Linked DNA regions of Caenorhabditis elegans. The protein of the gene in region 1 purifies or fractionates together with the protein of each later gene. This does not show direct contact. Each region holds a gene or a part of one and is shown in the gene's direction. Other genes may lie near its edges. The genes, in order: C25E10.8 and txdc-17.

The links.
Region 2: the proteins of C25E10.8 (region 1) and txdc-17 fractionate together in Caenorhabditis elegans (co-fractionation; one large-scale study listed by BioGRID). This does not show direct contact.

The regions. Positions count from the first base shown.
Region 1 is NC_003283.11:9,052,634-9,056,013, reverse strand, and holds C25E10.8 (TIL domain-containing protein), read left to right. Parts: upstream 1-1,944; 5' UTR 1,945-2,081; coding exon 2,082-2,084; intron 2,085-2,133; coding exon 2,134-2,185; intron 2,186-2,248; coding exon 2,249-2,319; intron 2,320-2,364; coding exon 2,365-2,652; 3' UTR 2,653-2,752; downstream 2,753-3,380. Other genes in the region: C25E10.10 (TIL domain-containing protein), read left to right, coding at 1-45, 95-180, 226-322, 423-538; Serine protease inhibitor swm-1, read left to right, coding at 1,182-1,184, 1,232-1,280, 1,341-1,411, 1,462-1,746.
Region 2 is NC_003281.10:2,832,839-2,837,003, forward strand, and holds txdc-17 (Thioredoxin domain-containing protein 17), read left to right. Parts: upstream 1-1,824; coding exon 1,825-1,975; intron 1,976-2,203; coding exon 2,204-2,294; intron 2,295-3,123; coding exon 3,124-3,280; 3' UTR 3,281-3,423; downstream 3,424-4,165. Other genes in the region: Y71H2AM.1 (N(6)-L-threonylcarbamoyladenine synthase), read left to right, coding at 1-40; Y71H2AM.29 (G_PROTEIN_RECEP_F1_2 domain-containing protein), read left to right, coding at 311-331, 694-945; josd-1 (ubiquitinyl hydrolase 1), read left to right, coding at 3,801-3,958.

The DNA.
Region 1 (3,380 bases):
GTTCTGAAGACGATTGTTCAGTTGATCCAAAGTGCGTGCCAATCCGTAAGTGTAGTGAAACCAAAAATATCCAGTGGTTCTTGGAAACTTCCAGCAATCCGCAAACCGGAATGTGAGGGCGATGAAGAGCTCAAGGCGTGTGGCTCAGCGTGTGAACCGACATGTGATAACGAGAATCCAGTAAATCAACGTTGAGATTATGTATGATCATAAATTGTTTCTCAGGAATGTGATTTGGTGTGTATGACAAACGTCTGCCAGTGTAAGAAAGGACTCGTCAGAGACTCGGCAACTGGAAAATGTGTGGAGAAAAATAAATGCAGTAAGCTTCAAAATTTATTACTAGACTTTAACCAATTTAACCATCAGTGATTATTCGCTGAAAACCTGCACATAATACTAGTCATAAATTTTTCATTCAGGCAAATGCACTCTTGAATGCTCTGAGAACGAAAAATGTGAACTTGTGGAGCTGACTTGTGAGGAGAAACCATGCCAAATTGTGGACGTATGTGTTGCACAACATACCACTGAATAATATTTTCGATGATTAAAAAAAAAGTTGTTTTTCTCATATTTTAATATTGATGTTTTCATGCTAATGTTTTCAGAAAATTTAAAAATAACAATATTCGAATTTTAACATAATATTTGTATTCCTTTTCAATAGCCAAAAAACTTATGAACTATTCCGTGTTGCAATACAATGAATACAAAAAGTCAGTGTTAACCAAACAATGTTAAGTTGGTAATTATGGATGAAACACATTCGAAATACTCTCCAGTGAGCCAAGCCAAAACTATTTGCACCAAGCGATACGTTTTAAATTGATATCTTCTAGTGAATTGATTCATTAAAATCATTGGTCGGAATGAAATTTCGTAAGGTTCTCGATTTAATGTGTTTCTGATTTTTTCTGAATTTTCGAATACAAATTCTTCGAGATTTTTAAACCTTTGTTGTGAGCCCAATTTACAAAATAAATACGTGACCGGTGAAAGATAAATTTCTCTCCAAAAGATTGAGAAGACCTATAATATCTCCCATTCGATCTTATCATGTTTCTCGTATCATCCCTTCCGAAAAAAAGGGCGGTTCTGCCGTTTTTTAGTGTTCCGGCACAATAAATAGAGCCGTTAAAAAGCAAAACATCGGTTGGTTGCCCTTCGTTATTGTGAAAATGGTGAGTTTTTGAGTTTTTTTTCTAATATAAAAATTATACACTTACAGAGGATACTTGTCATAATCACATGCATCGTTGCTGTTGCTACCGCCACAAGTAAGTAAATATATGTGATTTGGTACTTGAACGGTTACCAGATCATAAATATTTTTTTAGAAACATGTGAAGCCAATGAGGAGCTGGTATCGTGCCATAATACATGTGAACCACAATGTGGATATACCCCTGTAACAATTAACTTAATGTGTCTCCCATTACTGAAAGTTTCAAAATTTAGAAAGCTTGCACGGAGCAATGTATCATGAACACATGTGACTGTAAAGACGGATTTGTTCGTAATTCTCTTGGAAAATGCGTCGAAGTATCTGAATGCACCAAGGAAACTACAAAATGCCCAGAAAATGAGACATTCTTTGGCTGTGGAACAGCTTGTGAAGCAACTTGTGAGAAACCAAATCCAACAGTTTGCACTAAACAATGTATCGTCAATGTCTGCCAATGCTCCAAAGGTTTCGTTCGTCATGGACTCAGATGCATTGATAAGAAAGATTGTCCAAAATAATTTGTTTTTGAGTAAACATTTCCAAGTTCAATAAACCATCAAATATTGGAAAAAATTCAAAAAGAAGTGTGATGAAGGAAACTGGAGTTGTGTGCTATTATTGATAACACAATTGTTACATCAGTATTATTTTTCCTGGCATGAAAAACTAAAAAAAACTCTGTTTGATCTTTTGGATTTATTGGTCATCGTTTTTTTTCAATGTCTATGTCTCTGGCAAACAAAAGGGCGGTTTTGATAGACTAGAGTCCTCTGCGTGATTTAGTGTTCTCGAACAATAAATAGAGTCATTTCAAAAGAAAACATCAGACTGCTGCATTACTTTTCTTTCTGTGATGGTTCGTTCTTTTTTTCATTAGAGCAATGCAAAAACTAATGAGTTTTTAGAGAACTTTTGTCATAATTGCCTGTTTTATTGCTGCTGCGACAGCTGCCAATAGTAAGTTTATTTTTAAATGATTATTGTTAAATATTTCTGGAAAATAAACATTTTACTTTTCAGAGACATGTGGAGCCAACGAGGAAATGGTTGCATGCCATGATCACTGTGAGACACAATGCGGATACACTCCAGTAATCTATAATTTTCCATGTTCTCCTATAATATTTAATTTTCAGAAAGTGTGTCTATCTGCTCAATGTATTGAAAACGCATGCGACTGCAAGAAAGGATTTGTGCGTAATTCACTTGGAAAATGTGTCGATATTTCCACCTGTACCAAGGAAACTAGCAAATGTCCGGAAAATGAGACATTCTTCCGATGCGGAACCGCTTGTGAGCCAACTTGTGAAAAACCAGGACCAAGACCATGTACCAGACAATGCATTGTAAATGTTTGCCAGTGTTCCAGTGGTTTTGTCCGAAACGGTTACAGATGCACCGAACTCAAGGAGTGCCCAAAGTGAACATTTTGTATTCACATTTGTGATAATAAATCGTTGAATTTCATATTCTGAGAAAAACCAACAAATTGCCAAATAGAATAACATTCGGTTACCATGAACTGGAAAAATGGAAACGAATTTATATTTCTTTTTTGGAACAAAACACAAACAATGCCGTGATCGTGATATCATTCCGATGGAAAACTGTGTCCGATCGGAGTACACAAAGTTTTCGTTTTTGGGTACAGATTACCTCACTAGAGTATTGAATTTCATTTGGTCTTATAGGTTCGATGCTACACACAAAACTTTTTTTAGGATTGGCAATTGTTGTTTCATAAACATTCCAAAAGCGACAAAAACAGACAGTTTAAATGTTGGCATCATATATTTTTTTGGAAAAAAAATTCGTTAAAAAATGCGTTAAAAAATTTAACCGTGTGGCAGAGCTGAGCTCATCCCCTACTTGGTTTCTTAATATAGGAACATACACACAAAAAACAAATAAGAAACTTAAGCAAGGAAATTATTCAAAAAAAGATCAATCATTCTTTTGTAATGTCTAGGTTAGAAAATGTCGTAGACGCTTAAAACTTTTTAATTCAAAAATCACGATTCTTTTACAGCAGCGTTTTTTCCAGGCACATTCTGGAAAATGAAAGACTACGCTATTTTACGTGAGCATTTGCAATTGTTTTCTACCTCGTAAACATAAAAATAATCACATTCATAAATACCAATAGGTACGC
Region 2 (4,165 bases), on another chromosome or scaffold:
ATATAGAACGGATCAGGTTCACGTTGAATGGAGAGATTAATCGGTGCCTACCTACCTGCCTGCCTACAGGCGTAGGCAGGCATTTCTTCTGCTTCACGTTGTTTTTTTTTTCGTTAATTTTATTGATTTTTCTCCACTTTTCTTGTTGTTGTTGTTGTGCCGCGTGGCTGTTCTCATTTCTTTAAAATTTTACGTTTTTTTTTTCTCGAAATTTTGAAAATAGTTATCCCCCGTCCAATTTTCAATCATTTCTTTATTATTTTCTCCTGTTCTTCACACGTTTTTTGCACAAAAAGGAACGGGAAACAAAATGGTCGACGGATGTGCTGAGGTATGGCTTTTTTTTTACCGAAACCAACCTACCAGGCCCTAACTATCTGCCTGCAGGTACGCCGAACCAATAGGCGTTGGTCGCCTTGCAGGTGGGCAAATGTGATGTGATTGTTTTTTTTTAAATGTGATTTTATACCAACTTTCTAGTAGGCACGCTTGTAGGCGCCAGGTAGGCAACGATTTTTTCGTTTTTTTTTCCAAGTAAAAGTTAAGAAATACTAATTGATTTAATGGTAGGCACGCGAGTAGGCAGCCATTTTTCGCCAATTTTCCGTTTTTTTTTCGTATTTTCAAAAGCAAAAGGTTTAGGCATAAGGCAGGCGTAGGTAAAAACCCCCCGAAACCTCTTTTTTTTTGCAGAAATTCGAGCAAATGAGTTCATGGATTGTGCTGATTTCAATTGTTCCAATAACATTCAGCTTTATAACTGTCATTCTTTTGTGCTCATCTCTTCTAAAAGTGAAGAAAATGCGTGGAATTTGTGATGGAATCCATTCGAATGCTCATTGGTTGTCTAGAACTGCTGTTCGTGTTGGAATTGGAGCAACTGCCCGTGTTACAATCAATGAATATGCATCGACGAAGCCTGAGCTCAAGAGATTGCTTAAATAGATTACCTTGTTTTGAATGGAATAAATTATTGGGGATTTTTGAATTTTTTTATTAATTTTTTTTGTTGCTTTTTATCGGTTTTTGAAATTCCGAAGATTTTATTTACTTTATTATTTTTTTCTCTAAAATTTTCTAGAAAAAAAATTGAAATTTGATTTTTTAATTTTTTTTCGAAAATATGAATTTTGCCGCAAATTAATTCTAAATTTCGCAAAATTTTTCAGTGTTTCTAGAAATTTCTTATCGAAAAATTGAGAAAAAAAAACTATAAACTATTGAAAATATTTATTACGGGAACTCAAAATTTTGAGAATGCGTATTTCACAACATATTTGACGCGCAAAATATAACTATATCTCGTAGCGAAAACTACAGTAATCCTTTAAATGACTACTGTAGCTCGGTTGTGTCAATTTACGGGAACTCGATAAATAAATGATTCAACTCATTTAACAGAATCGAGATCCCGTAAATCGACACAACCGCGCGCTACAGTAGTCATTTAAAGGATTACTGTAGTTTTCGCTACGAGATATTTTGCGCGTCAAATATGTTGTGAAATACGCATTCTCAAAATTTTGAGTTCCCGTAATAAATATTTTCAATATTTTATAGTTTTTTTTTCTCAATTTTTCGATAAGAAATTCCTAAAAACACTGAAAATTTTGGGAAAATTAAAATTTTTCTTTCCAATTTTCAGAAAAAAATTTTAAAATTTGAATTTTGGAATATGGCTCAAAAATTTTGTGCAAAAGTGCAGAAAAAAAAATAAAATCCTATCATTTTTCGGGTTTTTTAAAGGATTTTCATGTCTCTTCCGAATATTTTTTTGTTGAAAATTTGTGGTAAATTTGAAAATTTCATGAATTTTTTCTCCAGATGACCGGACTGAAACACTACACTGCTCAGGGATACGAAGCATTTCAGGAGACACTGAAATCGATTGGAAAAGGAAAACGAGTCGTCGCTCTGTTCACTGGATCCAAAATTCTGACAACCGGAGAGTCTTGGTGCCCGGATTGTGTTGTTGGTACGAGATTTTGATGGCCTACCTACCTGCCTACCTACCCGCCTAGCTCATCCCCTGCGTACCTATCTGCTAACAGCCTCTGCCGCTTCTGTGCTTACCTACTCACCTATCTACAGTCTACATGCCTACCTACGGTGTGCCTGCCTTTGCCTACCGCATACCTATGCCTACCTACTGCTCACCTCACGCCTGCCTATAAATTAAAAAAATAATATATTTGAATTTCAGCTGAGCCAGTTGTCGAAGAAGTGATCAAGGACGCCGCCGTCGCCGGACTCGATGTCCATTTTGTCACTGTTTTCGTCGGAAATCGTGAAGTGTTCGTGGATTTTTGTAAAAAAAAATCGATAAAATTACGAAAAATCAATATTTTTTGGAAAAAATCAATAAAATTACGAAAAATCAATAAAATTATTAAAAAATCAAAAAATTATAAAAAATCAATAAAATTATAAAAATCAAATTTTTTTTGGAAAAAGTCGATAACATTACGAAAAATCAATTTTTTGAAAAAAAAAATCAATAAAAATATAAAAAATCAATAAAATTATAAAAAATCAATAAAATTATAAAAAATCAATGAAATTATAAAAAATCAATGAAATTATAAAAAATCAATTATTTTTAAATCAATAAAATTACGACAAATCATTTTTTTTTTTGGAAAAATTCATTTTTTTATAATTTTATTGATTTTTTCCAAAAAAAATCAATTTTTTTTAGAAAAAATCAATAAAATTATAAAAAATAAATTTTTTTAAAGAAAAAATCAATAAAATTATAAAAAATCAATTGTTTTTTAAAGAAACATCAATAAAATTATTTAAAAAAACCAATTTTTTAAAGAAAAAATCAATAAAATCATAAAAAAAATCAATTTTTTCTGGAAAAAATCAATAAAATTATAAAAAATCAATGAAATTATAAAAAATCAATTTTTTTTAAAAGAAAAAATCAATAAAATTATGAAAAATCTATAAAATTACGAAAAATCTATAAAATTATAAAAAATCAATTTTTTTGAAAAAAAAATCAATGAAATTACGAAATACTGTGTCAAAATTTTGAAAAATTCTCAAAGAAAAAATTTTCGGAAAAAATTATTTTGAAAAAAATTGCAAAAAATCTCTAAATTTCCAAATTTTCAGATGGCGTGACCCAGCTGTCGGATTCCGTACTGATCCAACACTCAAATTGACATGTATTCCGACACTTTTGGAAGTTGGAAACAAGGCAAAACGTCTTTTGGAGAGACAAATTGCCAATAAGCATCTCGTCAAGGACTTTTTCACTGAGGAAGACTAAATTATCGATTTTTTGGCTATTTATTGTGCTGAAAATTCCGCCATTTTGTTGTGATATTTAGACGATTTTTTGAATTGGGGTTATGGTTTTTGTTATTTAAAAAAAAAATTTTGTTCAGTTTATATAAAGGATTTGGTGATGGATTTTTTGATTTTTTGATTTTTTTTCAAAAAGAGGATGTGCCCTATTTTATGCTTAATTTTTTTTAATTGATTTTTGATTTTTTTTTGAATTAAAAAAAAGGAAAAATCGATATTTTGAATAAATTTTCTGAAAAATCAATACTAAATTCGAATTTCGATTTTCAAATAAAATTCGATTTTGTTTCGCACAAAAGTTAATAATTTAGTCATAGAAAATCGATAATTTTCATGAAATTTTTGAATAAAAATCAATATTTTATCGATTTTTTTCCAGAAGAAAATCGATAAACTGCAAAAAAAATATTTACGATTTCGACGACATTTTAAAAATAGAAAAAATTTCAGCATCCAATACCCCAATTAGATTTATATTCCAGATGACGTCATCACCAGAAATTTATCACGAAAAGCAACGTCTTCAATACTGCCTTATCCATACGGTTAACAATATTCTACAAAAATCCGAATTTGATCCGACAAAAATGGACGAAATTTGCTATGCGTTTAATGAGAGTAAATGGTTTAATCCACATAGGTACGCCGAAAAATTGATAATTTCCGGAAAAATCGATAATTTCCGGAAAAATCGATTATTTCTGGAAAAATCGATAATTTCCGGAAAAATCGATAATTTCCGGAAAAATCGATAATTTCCGGAAAAATCGATAGTTTCCTGAAAAATCGATAATTTCCGGAAAAATCGATAATTTCTGGAAAAATCGATAATTTCTGGAAAAATCGA